Oryctolagus cuniculus: one gene and its partner. The protein of the gene in region 1 purifies or fractionates together with the protein of each later gene. This does not show direct contact. Links are inferred from orthologs where the notes say so. Each region holds a gene or a part of one and is shown in the gene's direction. Other genes may lie near its edges.

Region 1 (7,778 bases):
GATACATTGTAGATGGCAGTGCTAGAAGGAAAAAAAGTTGCTACATAATTTCGTGTGCAGTCTGACAGTAAAAACCAAACATATAGAGTAAAAAACACAGATTAGTTTCTCAAAAGAGCTCAATTTCAAGTGCAGCAGTCAAGAATGCTATACTAATATCCCTTTGTTATATTTCCACATAGTAAGTGGATCTTTATCATAAAATGATGAACAAGAGAAAGAACTGTTACCTAAAACTTCGCAATGTTTTGCTATTTTGAAGTAACTAGCATCTTCCCTTCTGGATTAATAAACCATACAAGGAACTAAACGGACGCAGGCCAAGTTGGCAATGTGTGGCCCCCACTTTGGGGGCCAGTTTCCAGCTATTTCCTTGTGTTGTCAAGCTGCATGGTGAGTTGGGTGGATGTTGCTCACTGAGCTAAGCACACCTGTTAGCTCCTAGGTGGGTGGCTCAGGGCTCCACTGAGTGCCATTCTGTCGGTCAGTGCTCAGGTTCTAAGGGAAAGCCACTGGCAATGGAGAGAGACCAGGCTGGTGAGAAGCCGTAGGCTGTACACACTCTTCTGCAGGTCCTCTCTGCTGGGTGGCAGGGCTCTGAGGTTTGAGTGCTCTTTTCGTTCAGAGCTTACAAAGCTTAAACGCTGAGGCTCTCACATAAAATCCCTTAGATTTGTGTTTACCTCTTTAATTTTCCACCATTCCCTGAGATACAACAGGGGAGGGGGAAGAAGACCAGAATGATTTACATTGTAACCACATAGGGCATTGCTTGTAGGTCCCATGCCCTGTCTCTTACTTGGAGGGATGGAGCAGAGGTTTGGGTCTGGTAAAAACACAGGGTAATTAAGGCAGGGCATTTAACGTGGTTCTTGGAATTTCAGGTCAAGGGCAGCAGGAGGGTCAGGTGCTGCTTTTCCAGCCTCACTTCTGCAGTATCCGACACCCCCTCCCCGCTCCCTGCAGCATTTTAATAGGAAACCTTGGATTTACCCAGTTAAAGTGTTCCTCCATTTACGGTTTGCATATGGTGGTGGCCGTAGCGGCAGAAACACGGAGCTTCTTAGATCTGTCTATGGTACGTTTACTGCGATTCTCCCTAAGGTAGAAAGAGCAATACATGCACAGCTGCTGCTCGCAGACGTAAGGTGGGCCACGGTCCAGAGACCCACTGTGGAGTCTGCTTCCTTTCATCATCACTGCTGCTGTACCTCATTCGCACACCACTCCCCGGGGCAGGGTCCAGCCTTTTTCTAGAGAACTCCACCTTAAACTTTATGCATTTTCAGCTGGATGTACTTCCCAGGACAGCATTTGCAGGATGAGCTGCATAATACTAATATTTATTTCAGGAAGGGAATAACTAGCTTTTGATTCAGACCTGAAACACACACTTTTTTAGATGACGGTGATGGACAAAGCTGAACCACCAAGAGCAGCTCTCCAAAGCTCTAAGCCAAAAGCAAAAGTGATTCCCGGCAGCGAGGCACTGCTAAGTTCTGCCCTTGCAAAACAGTCAAAAAATCCTTCCCCAGTCTCCCGGAGCATGGTTCCCTTCCCCCGCCCCAGCAACCAGCCTCCCTTTTCACCGAAGTCTCAAGCTGCGAGTCTCCCTCATTCATTCGTCAAACATTGGCTCGGTCTGACCACACGTTATCCGGCGCCGGGTCTCACCCCGCGCTCCAGGAAGGGTGGGGCGCCCGCTCGCTGGAGCAGGTGCAACGAAGCGGGCTGTGCAGGACTTCTCGACCAGGCCGGCTTTTTTCGAGGGCTTGTTCAGGGCCAGATGCCTCACCTTCGGCAGGTGCGCGCGGGAGTCTGGCCCCCGGGCCTGGGCCTTCCCCCGGTTCCCAAAGGAGCAGTCCCCACCTGCCCCGAAGGAACCCGCTAGAGAGCGAGCTCTCCCCGCCGCCCTCGGGTCAGGGGTAAGCTCAGGCGGCAGCTCAGGCTCCGCTCGGCTCCTCCCCTTCCTCTCTTCAGTTCTGACGCGGCCGTAGAGGCGGCCGCGGTGGTGGCGGCGGCGGCAGCAGCGAGTACCGCGGCCCGAGGCGCACCCACCCGCTCCCGGCTCCCCGACTTCCTCTTCCCTTCGAGCGTCATCAGAGCGCGCCGGAGTCGCCCAGGGCGGGGTGGCTAGAAAGGGAAGAAAAAAAAAAAAAGGCCAGCGAGGAAGCCTCAGAGCGGAAAGGAAAGGGAGGGGGAGAGGAGAGCGGTTGCTAGGTGACTTGCGTCATCGGTCGGCGCCGCTCTCCTCCCGCCCCTCTCTCTGGAGTGAGGCGAGAGCCCCGCACAGAGCGAGGGAGACAGCGAGCAGAGCTCCGGCGCTACTGCGATCGCCGCCGAGAGAGTGAGAGCGAGGGAGCATCGGAGGACCCAGCCCCCGTGCCGTGGCCGCCGCCGAGAACCTCGGCCCCAACCTGGGCCAGCGAGAGCCGCGGCCGCCCTCCTCTCCCCCCCTCACCTTCCCGGCCGGCGGCGGCGGCTGCACACGCCGGAGCCGGAGCCGGAGCCCGAGCCGGAGCCGGCGGCTGGGGGGCAGGGAGACGGCTCCCGCGGCGGGCCGGGACTTGGGAGCTGCTCCGCCGTGAGAGGACCTTGAGCCGGGGGCCGGAGCTTTTGCCTCGTCCCGGGGCGAGGGGCGAGGGACCCCCGAGGTGTAGGGAGGGGGGTCCCAGCCGCAGCGACACATGCGGGAACCGGGAGCGGGGGCGGCGCCGAGCGGAGCCGGCCGGGTCCCCAGCCTCGCGGCCGTCTCGGCCACCCGCACGGGGCCGTAGCATCTTGCCCCGGAGTGTATGAGCCGGGAGGGCCCCGAGCTCAGCCACCACCCCCCGGCCGGGGGGGCGGGGACCCCAATGTGAAGCGGCGGCTGGGGCGGCGGGCAGAGCAGGACCGGCGCCGCCGTCCTCTCCTCACCCACCCCTTCCCCTTCGCCCCCTCCGGGGGGAGGGGGTCTTTTCCTTCGGCCTGTCGCCGGCCCCCCGGCTCCTCGGCCCGGACTCCGGGAGGAGTTCTTAGAGCCCCCTCCCCCGCCCCAGCCCCCAGGGCGGCGGGGCCGGGGGGGATCCGGGGGGCCGGCCGCAGCCTCCACCCAGAGGAAACTTTTATAAGAACAAATTCTGGAGCCTCCCAGACGTGACTGTCCCGGGACCAGTGGCCCTGGACGGGCAGAAATCACAGCCTGAAGAGACCCAGGAAGAGGAAAAGAGGTGATCGGGGCCGCCGCCTCCTCTCCCCCCACCCCGGCGGCGCGGAAGAGACCCGGGTGGCCGCCTGCTTGGGCGACACGAGCAGCGATCGCTTCTTCCTCTGTAGCGAGCGCGCCGGAGCCTGCCGCAGTCCGGAGCAGGAAGGGAACCAGCCCGCTCTCTCAGCGCCACGGCTCTTCTCTAAAGTGTGAGTGGTCCTTCCGGAGAGGGGCCGAGGGGGGGGCCGGGGGCGGGAGGATGCCGCAGAGGTTTGTGCAGATGTTTTCCAGCGGCGCGGGGAGTGTGTGTGCGCCCCTTCTTCGCACAGGACGGCTCTGGGGTTTGTTGCCGTTGAGCTTGGACGAGCAATGCCAAGCGTGCAGGTTTCTCCAAGGAGGAGTTAGTTGTGTTCTCTTCCGGAGTGGGAAAGATTGCACCTCTCCGGGCAGGAGTTGGCAGAAGGGAAGTCGAGGAAGGCAGAGCAGGCGTGCACACAAAGGACATCGCTGTGCTCGCCCTTTTCCTGGTGGCAGGGACTGTGGGATGGCGCCGGAGGAGTTTTGTGTAGGGGAGGACCTCTCCCGTGGGTTCCCCCGTGCACCTCTGAAAGTCCAGTTCCTTGATTTGTTCGCAGGCTACCTCGAGGGGAAGCCCGGGTTTCATTTCCATACCTCTCAGTACAGAAGTTTTTAACCTTCTCTTTTCCTGCGTCCAGTTCCTCTGCATGTCAGGAGGACACTTTAACAGATCGCAGTTACTGGGGAAATTCTGGCTTCTTAGGAATCACAGCTTATTTGAGGCAGAGCATTTACTGCATAAACCATTTTATATAGGTTGTTACTCTTCCACCCAAATCCCACATGTGCCCTCTGTCTCTCTCTCTCTCTCTTTTTTGAGTAACAGGTTATAAATGACAGCACTGTTTTATTGGGAGAATGGGTTGAGACTTTGTTGTTTGATTTAGCTTTACTTTAACGATTTAGGAGGAACCTATGAAGCCATAATTCTTACAAGAATGGCTTTTCCTTGCATTATTTTAAAGTTGAAGTCTCTCAAATCTTTGACTCGATTTCAAATGTCCCCTCAGCGTGCCAAGTTAGAGGTACACAGAAGTAGTTAGCATTTCATGTATACAGACCTGGAGGGTTAGGCATCAGGGGGGAATTTTAGGTAACTAGACCCAGACAGTTCTATAGTGAGAGTTATGGTGCCTCCAGACCAGTAGCTGTGGATGGCCTTTCTGAAGTCATTGCTGAGAGATGCTTTGTGGGAATGAATGTATGCCCGGGGTTATCCACCCTAAATTCTCCACTCAGGATCCCGATGAAATTTTTAAAAAAACCTTTTCAGACTTAATGTTTTGACTCTGTACCACTTCTTTTTTAAAGTAATAAGTTCTGCAGATTTATTAGCCTCTGTCTGATGTAAGAATTCATGCATGTATCCCAAACTTACCTCCTTAGGCTAAAAGATGCATCACTTAAGAGCTTGCGTTTTGAGAAATACTAGAATAACCCCAGGTTTCTTGCCTGGTTATTCTTGTTTGCCATCATTTCCCCCCAGCTTTCTGTCTGAGAACTGTTTCTTCCATTTCTTTGACCACTGCCCTTCTCTGGACCTTCTCCAAGCATTTGTTTTTCTGTAGGTGCCTTGTTCTCATTACGCTTTTGTAAGGAACCTTGAAGTCTGTTCTAAGTGGGTACCGACATAAAACGTTGCATAGTGGATTGAATATTAGATTTAGAAGCAGCCAGGTATCTCTGGATGTGTCATCTTTTGTGACTTCGAGTAAGTCACCTTTTCTGTTTCTCACAGATGGACCAGAGAAAAAGCTGGTCTTACATAGACAGCTTTTTGGGAAGGAGAGAGGACAAACCAACAAAGCAAAGTTTGTGGATAATGCCGAGTTTAGGACCTATTTTGATTGCTTTCACTATAGATAAGTTAAGAATGATGGTAATATTTTAATATGTATTTGGGTAGAAATGAGGAAGTATTGGGGGTCTCTGCCTTTGAAGCACTTTTACTTAGGGGTGGAAGAGACAGTTATACAAATGGAACAAGACTACAGGAGAACAGGCCGGTATTAATCTGAGACCACCACGTGTGCCATTGCATTATCCAGTTCTTGCTAACAAGCAGGCTGCTTTTTAAAGGAGAGACTTATTTTGGCTCACAGCTCTGGAGGTGCTAGGTCTGGGGGCTCCTCTGATGGTGGCTTTCTTGTTGGCAGAGCATGCTGCTGCCAGAGGCGGCAGTGAGCACAGCTGTTTGTATTTCACTCCCAGGGTTTACCCTCTGTAGCATAGTTGAATCAAGTTCCCACCCTCTTAGTATTGCTGCCATATGATTTTGGGGGTTAAACTTCTACATGAAATCTCCCCTCCCACCTTGGGGGTGGGAATGGGGTGCTGGTGGTGTTTGATACCTGATAGGAAGTGAATGTAATTTTTTTTTGTTAGGGAAATGTTGGTTTCAGAGCAACTTGGGGTGTCTGAACCAAATCTGGGAAGATCTCTTAGGAAGAAAAGAGTTTGTGGAATTTAAGACTTTTGGAATTGGAAGGTATAAGGCACAGATGTCGTTAGGTAGGTAGTCTGGTGGCAATACTGACAGAGGGAGATTGTTGAGTGGGGTTAAAGTCAGAGTTTGTGTAGGGGCATGGTTAAAGACCCAAGAAGCAGTTGAGAACAGTATTCCTGAGATGATTGGGTAGAAATAACATTTAAGAGCAAAGGTATTGTGCCTGGATTAGGATTTTGTTTTTCCAGGGAAATTAAGGCTATACAGAAGGAATGGTGAAAAAGAAGATGTTTCCAGTATTTTGATATAGTGCTAGTGGTATTTATAAAAAAGAATTTAGAAATAGGGTACCATACTTTGTTTTGAACATCAAATTTTAGGGTTAAAACTGAATACCGATGCAGTTTCAAGACAACAGAAATAGTTTAACAAGTGATATGCTGAAAATGTGGAATTGGGTGTCATTTTTATATTTAGGGTTATGAGAATCCTGATGGGGAGGGAGGAGCTGAAAAAATAAATGTTTTCACGTGAGGGGAAAATCTGTAAAAGTAAATGGAGATGTAGCAAGAACAGGGCATGGATGAGACTCTGCGTAAAATAAATATTTTAAAAGTGGATGTGAAGGAGCTGGTGCTGTGGCTTAGTATGCTAAGCCTCTGCCTACAGCACCAGCGTCGTATATGGGTGCTAGTTCTTGTCCTGGCTGCAACTCTTCCAATCCAGCTCTCTGTTGATGGCCTGGGAAAGCAGTAAAGGATGGTCCAAGTCCTTGGGCCCCTGCACCCACATGGGAGACCCAGAAGAAGCGCCTGGTTCCTGGCTTTGGATCAGTCCAGCTTTGGCCTTTGTGGCCATTTGGGGAGTGCACCAGTGGATGGAAGACCTTCCTCTCTCTCTGTAACTCTGTCTCTCAAATAAATAAAAAACTAAGAAAAAAAATGAATGAGAATTGAGTCAAAAACGGAGGAGTAGGGACTAGTGTTGTGGGTTAGGCCACCACCTGGGACACTGGAATCCCATATGGGAGCACTGGAGTCCTGGCTGCTGGATTTCCTTTTTTTTTTTTTTTTTTTTTTAATCTTTATTTTATTTATTTAAAAGACAGAGTTAGAGAGAGAGAGAGAGAGATCTTCCATCTGCTGTTTTACTCCCCAGATAGCTGCAAGGGCCAGAGCTGTGCTGATCTGAAGCCAGGAGCCAGGAGCTTCTTCCTGGTCTCCCACGTGGGTGCAGGGGCCCAAGGACTTGGGCCATTTTCTACTGCTTTCCCAGGCCACAGCAGAGAGCTGGATCGGAATTGGGGTAGCTGGGACTCGAACCAGTGCCCATATGGGATGCTGCATTTCAGGCTAGGGCTTTAACCCGCTGTTCCGCAGTGCTGGCCCCAGCTGCTGCATTTCCAATCCAGCTTCCTGCTAATACACCTAGAAAGGCAACAGAATATGGCCAAAGTGCCTGGGCCTCTGCCACCCATGTGGGAGACCTGGATGGGGTTCCTAGTTCATGGATTTGGCCTGGTACAGGCCTGGCCATTGCAGCCATTTGAGGAGTAAACCAGGGGTTGGAAGATCTTGCATTCTCTCTCTCTCTCTCTCGCTCTCTCTGGGTGTGTTGTTCTGCCTTTCAAATAAATAAATGAAAAAAGGGAGAGAGGAGAAGACATACTATTTTTGTCCCAGGGAATATGATTCTGTTTTTGAAACAGCTACAAGTTTTGAAGTATACAGATCTCTTCAGATTAAGTTCAGAAGAATATATAGCATTTCATATTTATTTCCTAAATTAATGTTTTTAAACTTTGCCTTGTATTACTCTTTTTTTTTTAAGATATTTTATTTATTTCTTTGAGAGGTAGAGTTACAGACAGTGAGCGGGAGAGACAGAGAGAAAGGTCTTCTCTCCACTGGTTCACTCCCCAGATGGCCACGACAGCTAGAGCTGTGCCGATCCGAAGCCAGGAGCCAGCAGCCAGCAGCTTCCTCCAGGTCTCTCACGTGGTTGTAGGGGCCCAAGCACTTGGGCCATCTTCCACTGCTTTCCCAGGTCGCAGCAGAGAGCTGGATT
Region 2 (7,678 bases), on another chromosome or scaffold:
GACACTTTCCCTAGCACTGCTTTTAAGACTATCTGGAAACAATAACTATACAGTTCCAAAATGAATAGGGGGAAGTTTGGCATTTATTTATCATTTGTTAACAATTCTTTATAGTAGAATATTGTACAAAAGCATAATCATACTAAAGTTTTCATGCCTAAGGTTTCCAGATTAAGTAGAAGTTTATGTATATTAAGGGGCTTCTAATCAGTTCACTTTTACTAGAAGTTAGAGCTGCTAATAAAATGAGGCAATATTTCTTCCATATAATGTTATCATTAAAGTACTAGAGAGTATTTAAATATCTAATCATTCCTTTCATTGTGTATGTTTATCTCTGTTTAAAAGGGTATAGAACTTCATCATTCTAATTGGTTGTCACTCTTTAAAACTCCTGTCTTCAGATTCCTGGCAGAGGCTATTTCCCTAACTTACTATTTCGTCTCTTAAGGTGCATTTTATCTACTTTTATTAATTCTCCAATAATTTCCATCACCATACATTTATTTTCATTGATAACTATCTAGTATGTCCATCCATTGCCATAGAAACTTGATTTAGTTTAATGTGCCAACTGAAGTATATTACTGTCAAACTCAGGAGTTCCTCATCATTCATTTTGATAGAGGAACAACATCATTCAGTTGAAATAGTAAAGAAAAAAAAAGGAGTTCTAAACTGCATTTTAAAGGAGAAGGTAGTCAAAGCTACACTGTAAAATTTTCTGCCTTCCAACTTGATGTGTGAGTGCTGAACTCTTAATAGGAGAGGAAAAATTTAAATCTCCTTTTGCTACTTTGTTTTCCTTCTGGCCATGGGGAGTCTTATTTAATTGTTTTTGCTTTCATTCTTTCTTAATGTCCCTATGTTCATAATTTTGTGGTTTCTTTAGCAATTCTCTCATAACTTTTAGAGCAGAGCAGCCTCTTTGCTCGTTGTGAGTATTAAAGGAAATATATTTCTATGCCTCCTCTTACATATCTAATTCTTAAATGATCTGTAATCTTATCTTTGGCTTATCATTTATCAATGAAGTATCAATGAAAAGAATGAATCAGATTAATGAACCAGGACTCAAAAAATATGACCTTTTGAAATTCCTAGGAGTATTTCATATGTTTTATAGTTAATAAAAAGATGTTTTATTTGTAAAATTGTTTATACTAGATATGTGCATTTATTCAAATTACCAGGTGCGTTGAATAATGAGAGACTAGTATGCATGCCTATCTTTTGTCACTACTAATATTAAAGAGAACCACATATACTTTATGAGAAGTTTGCATTTTTCAACATGAGCCACTAATATGTTTGGTTTTCATTAATAGCATGCTAGAACTAAACATGAAATTTTGATACTCTTGTTAAACATGATTATCCACAAGTTTGGGGTGGCAGTGTAACTTAGTTTCATCACCACTGAATGTTTGAAAGAGCTCATTGTACTTAATCGTGGATCTATATCACTAGGTCTTACAGACTCTGATCTTATTTTAGGTTTCAGATGCAAACTAGGATTCCTTTTAAATCTTTGACATGATCTATGATCATTCATTTTTAACTTCTCTACCAACAAATGTTATGGTTCCTTTCTTGAATTTGGGGAGGAAGAGAGGGTTTTAATGTCATCACTTCATCAGAGAGATGCTTAGATCACAGTACCATTGATAAATTATTAAAAAGCACTTTTTAAAAAACATACATTTATATCCTTTAATAAATAAGAAAAAATTTTATAAAGATGTATTGTGACAGGGAGTCTGTCAGACCAAATGAGCTGGGTTTTATTTGAGCATAATATATTCTGCTTCTTAGTTACTATGTTGTTGATGTCATTACTTAACTAAAGCAGACTTACAAATAGGTTTTTGAAAGTAACTTTGGAAAATTGTCAACAAGCTCTTTCCTATTAACAAAAATTTATCAAATAGTATAGACATTAAGTAACCTAAAAAGTATTTACACTGTGGGAGATAGTTTCCAAAATTAGTTTTCTACTGAAACTAATTTACTGGCCCCTGATATACAGGGTCATGATAACTTACATGGCTGACCTGATTACAATTGTCTTATTAATTGACGAAGCATATTCATCAGATATACATTTCTCTTCAGAGTTCAAGGCAGCTTGCCTCAAGGTTTCATGAACAGTTTATTGTACGAGAAGATCTGATGGGTCTAGCTATTGGTACTCATGGTGCTAATATTCAGCAAGCTAGAAAAGTACCTGGGGTCACTGCTATTGATCTCGATGAAGATACCTGCACATTTCATATTTATGGAGAGGTAATTATTTTGGTAAATAATTTTTTCTACCTCAAATGAGTATTTCAGCTGGCTGATTTTTGTCATCAAACTTTCCCTTGTTTTTATTAGGATCAAGATGCAGTTAAAAAGGCTAGAAGTTTTCTTGAATTTGCTGAAGATGTCATACAAGTTCCAAGGAACTTAGTAGGTGAGTGAGAAATATCTGTTAACATGTACCAGAAAAACAAAATTTACACAAACAATGTATATGCCAAGGAAATTCATTTCCCCTTACTCAAGGGTATTATTTAATTGAAATATGATTTTTAAAGTATGGTCTGTTGCTATAGTGTACCAAAAATGTTTGATCAGTGTAATACTCAAAAGATTATATTTTCAGAAGATGTGCAAAAGAGAGTGCTTTGCTAGATCAAACCTACTAATGCCTGAAAGGATACATTTTACTTATCCTTCTTGCTCTATATATATTTAAGATTATTTATTTTATTTAAAAGAGATACAGAAAGATAAGGGGGAGGGAGAAGAAGAGAGAGAAAAATATCTTTCTCCTACTTGTTTGCTTCCCAGATGGTCCCAAGGGGCCAGGGCTGGGCCAAGCCAAAGCCAGGAGCCTAGAGCTTCTTCTAGGGCTCTTACGTGGATGGGAAGGGCCAAACACTTGGACCATCTTCTGCTGCTTTCCCAGGCCATTAGGAAGGAGCTGGATTGAAAGTGGAACAGCCAGGACACCGAATGGTACCAATATGGGATGCTAGTATCGCAGGCAGTGGCTTTACCCACTTTACCACAATGCTGGCCTCTTTATCTTACGATTTTACAAAATGAATGGAGACTTTCTAATTTGGACTAGATTGGTATTTGATCTCCTTCATGGTGCTATAAAGTGATAATATTCATTTTATGTTTTTAAAGATTTACTTGAAAGTCTGTTATATAGAGGGAGAGACATAGAGGCAGAGAAATCTTCATCTGGTGGTTCACTCCCCAGATGGCTGCAACAGCTAGGGCTGAGCCAGGCTGAAGCCAGGATACAGGAGGTTCTTCCAGGTCTCTCACATTGTGGCAGGGTCCCAAACACTTGGGCCCTCTGCTGCTGCTTTTCCCAGGCTGTTACCAGGGAGCTGGATTGCAAGTGGAGGAGCTGAGACTTGAACCACCACCCATATGGGATGCTGGTGTTGCAGGGGCAGCTTCACCCTCTACGCCACAATGCTTGCTCCAGTAAAAATCATTTTAATTATCTCAAGGTTGAAGATCTGAATGTACCTAATATCAGATGTCTCTGAAACTTCCTGCAAAGCCAATGGCAGTTCTTCATTTTGACTTGAGTATTGTTTCATGACCATTACCACCTTGAATATCAGCAAATATCTAGGAAATTCTCACCAATATTCCCAAGTGGTATTGGTATCTTTAGTAGATCTTGTCAGAATCAGATGTATTTTCCTCAAGAAAGCTACATAGGTTTTATGTTTTTAGTTTATAAATAGAATTGGAATATGCTACCTATACATTTTTAAAGGATTTATTTATGTATTTGAAAGACAGAGTAACTGGATCACTCCCCAGATGGCTGCAGTAGCCAGAGCTGGGCCAGCCCAGAGTCAGGAGCCAGGAACTCTATCCTGGACTTCCAAATGGGTAGCAGGGGCCCAAGTGCTTACATAATCTCCCATTGCCTTCCCAGGCAGGAAGCTGGGTCAGAAGCAGAGTAACCAGGGCTTGAACTGGCGCTCTGATATGGGATGCTGCTGTTGTAAGCAATGGCTTATTTTCACTGCACCACAACACTGACCCCTGTCAATACCTTTTATCTTTTTACTTGAGATCTTGGCTGATTGTAGAAAGTGATGTGTGGTCTTACTATGTATTTTGTTTACATAATTTCAGTGCCACTAAGCCTGCTTTTGGGTAGCATACAAGGGAACTTCATGTAAAAAAATGGAATTAAAAGATAAAAATAAAAAAGTTTTATTTCTTAATGAGTTCCATCAAGCTTGAAACACTTTTGTAAGCAATGGTATCAACCATTTTATATCATCCCTTAAAGAACTGAGGGTACTGAGAATTTAACCATGTCAGTGAAATCTTATATACCTGCAGAGAATTGGATGCCCTTTAAAGATGGTTTAAGATTGGGAAACAAAAAAGTCAGAAGGAGTGAAATTAGGACTGTGAAGTGAATGCCTAATGATTTTCCTTTGAAACTCTCACAAAATTGTCCTTGTTTGAGAGGAATGAGCAGGCGCATTGTCATGGTGGAGAAAGACTGGTCAAGCTTCCAAGGTGTTTTTTTGGCTAAAACTTTGTCTCAAAGCACTCTTAATAAGCAGATGTTGTTGTCATTCTTTGTCCCTCCAGAGAGTTGACAAGCAGAATGTCTTGAGCACCCCAAAACCTGTTGTCATGACCTTTGTTCTTGACCAGTCTCTTTGCTTTGATTGGACCATTTCTACCTCTTGAAAACCATTGCATTGATTGTGCTTTGTTGTCAGAACCATACTAATAAAGCCATGTTTCATCTCCTCTTATGATTCATCCAACAAATGCTTCAGGATCTTAGTGCCACTTGTTTGTTTCTTTTAAAAAATGTATTTATTTGAAAGGCAGAGTTACAGAGAGGCAGAGGCTGAGAGAGAGAGGTCTTCCATCTACTGGTTCACTCCCCAGATGGCCGCAACAGCCGGAGCTGTGCCGGTCCGAAGCCAGAAGCCGGGAGCTTCTTCAGGGTCTTCCACGCAGGTGCAGGGGCCCAAGGAGTTGGACCATCTTCTACTGTTTCCCAGGCTATAGCAGAGAACGGCAGGACAGCCAGAACTTTCACTGGCGCCCATATAGGATTCCGGCACTGCTGCAGGTGGCGGCTTTACCCGCTGTGCCACAGCACTAGCCCTGCCACTTGTTTCATATTTCCATTGAGGGCTCTGCCCTTTAACTTTTGAGTCAAGAGTTGTATAAACTGAACCTTTTTTATTTTTAAAGTTTTGTTTTTATTTTGACGTATTTTGCATATACCTGACCATTATATATAAAAACGTATCAGGAATAATAAGACAAACATCTGTAAAATACCCCATATGTAATGTTTTTTGTGTATAAAACACAGATATTCTTTTTTTTAAAAGCTTTTATTTAATGAATGCAAATTTCATAGGTACAACTTTAGGAATATAGTGGTTCTTCCCATTGCCCCTCTCCTCCCCCCTCCTACTCCCTCTCCCATCCCATTCTTCATTAAGATTCATTTTTAATTAACTTTATATACAGAAGACCAACTCTATGCTAAGTAAAGATTTCAACAGTTTGCACCCACATACACACACACAACATATAAAGTACTGTTTGAGAACAAGTTTTGCAGTTAATTCTCATAGTACAACTCATTGAGAACAGAGGTCCTACATTGGGGTTTAAGTGCACAGTGACTCCTGTTGTTAATTTAACAATTAACACTCTTATGTATGATGTCAGTAATCACTCGAGGCTCTTGCCATGAGCTGCCAAGGCTATGGAAGCCTTTTGTGACCACAAACTCCGGAACTGAACCAATTTAAGTCTGTGGTGTTCGCTGTTGTTTTTGTTGTTCATCATTGATCCTCTAGCTAGAGCATGAATAACATTAATTTTGTCCTCACAAATAAATTGATGTGGATGATTTGCCACCACCGTAGGCTTCATCTTTCAACATCATCTTGTTTCTTCTTAGTGTGAGTTATCCTAGGGAGGATGTTATGGCACAGTGGATTTAAGCCACTACTTCGAATGCTGGTATGAGTCCAGGCTGCTCCACTGCTGATCCAGCTTCTTTCTCATGAATCCTGGTAGACAGCAGATAATGGATTAAGTGCTTGGGTCCATGCCACCCACTTGAGGGAACCAGATGGAGTTCTGGGCTTCTGGCTTTGGCACAGCCCAGGCTGTTGCAGTCATTTGCGGAGTAAACCAGCAGATGGAAAATACTTTTCTTGTCACTCTGCCTTTCAAGTAGATGAAAAAAACATTTTCAAATGAGTTCTCCATTTCCAAATTTCTAATTCTTTTAGGACATTATCCCCACAAATCTTTCATAAAGCATCAGTGATGTCACCATTCTTCCACCAAAAACTTCATCATGAATTTGATGTTTGTATCTCAGTTTTAGCAGAATTCATGTTGCTCTGATAAAGACTCTTTAAATTTGTGTCTTATCCTTCTTAATGCCTCAAACTAAATTCTGATCAGATATTTTATAGCAAGTTAGTACAAATTTATTTTGGTGTAAAGAAGTTGAAGATCTTGCCTAATTTTTAATAATATACATTTTCTATGAACTCTTTGAAGATCCCCTCGTAAAATCATAAACATTTTCCTATGCAATTAGCATAACACCAGAAACAATACTTTTCTCAAAAAAACCTAGCTCAAATAGAATGGATTTTTTTTTAATTACCAACAGACAGAAACTTGTTATCAGTTTTATTGAAGTTTGTAGTATGGCATGATTGTAGAGGGAAGTGCCTGGGCATTTGAGTTAGATCTAGATTTTGGTCTTACTTCATTCATTTTTCAGTATTTGTGCGACTTTTGCCAGTTGTTTTAGCTCCTCTTGGTGTTCTGTTCTTCACTTGTCAAACAAATATGATCATAGCATACATCTCACAGAGTTGTAATAATTAAATGGGAAGATTATCCATGTATCTATTTGTGTAAACTTTTTGTAAAGCAGAATTGTACTAAATTGCCCACTGGGCTTTGGAAATAACTATGTAATGTATAATTGGATTGAATTATCTTTTAAATGTTAAAAGTGGATTCCACCTGGAAAGAGGATCCCAGAATTAATCGGCCTTTCTCCAGAAAGTTTGCTGAAATAAATCATCCTAGTTCCTGTTCAAACCATTGCATTTCTGTTCAGTAAAACCAGAATTCTGTTTTCAGCATCGTCCACTACAATACTGGGAACATCAGGACTTTTTTCAGAATGTGTTTTTCTATAGGATTTGGCAAGCCAGATCTTTATTTATGGAGCTGTCGTAAGAAGTATTGCATGATAGTGAATTACTTTATTCAGTCAGCTGTAGTTAACATTAAAATCATCATTAATTTATGAAAATATGTGTTGTAGACTGAAAGCAAAATATGGGAAGATTCCAGATAATTTCTCTCCCTCTACCCTTTGATTTGAAGAAAAGAGCAGAAATAATTGACAGAAGCACTTAGATCAGTAGTCCTGATTTAGTGGTGTCAGTTCTGTTCACTGACCAGTAACCAGTCAAGAGAAGTTATAAAGGGATTGAACCAGCCATACATGCAAGAGTTCCCAAGTTACATTCTTATTACAAGAGTCACAAGTTACAAGATCCTGTTGTGAGATGGCCTTTTTCACTGGGCTCTTATTTAGGTATATATGATTCAATTTTATAAAATGATA

What was found.
Region 2: the proteins of FBXW7 (region 1) and FMR1 purify together in Homo sapiens (affinity purification with mass spectrometry, with the first as the bait; 3 studies listed by BioGRID). This does not show direct contact. The link is inferred for Oryctolagus cuniculus from reciprocal best matches to the Homo sapiens genes FBXW7 and FMR1.

The regions. Positions count from the first base shown.
Region 1 is NC_091439.1:11,997,319-12,005,096, forward strand, and holds the start of FBXW7 (F-box/WD repeat-containing protein 7), read left to right. Parts: upstream 1-2,877; 5' UTR 2,878-3,396; intron 3,397-7,778. UniProt on the Homo sapiens protein: Substrate recognition component of a SCF (SKP1-CUL1-F-box protein) E3 ubiquitin-protein ligase complex which mediates the ubiquitination and subsequent proteasomal degradation of target proteins.
Region 2 is NC_091453.1:126,458,872-126,466,549, forward strand, and holds part of FMR1 (fragile X messenger ribonucleoprotein 1), read left to right. Parts: intron 1-2,115; coding exon 2,116-2,286; intron 2,287-2,376; coding exon 2,377-2,455; intron 2,456-7,678.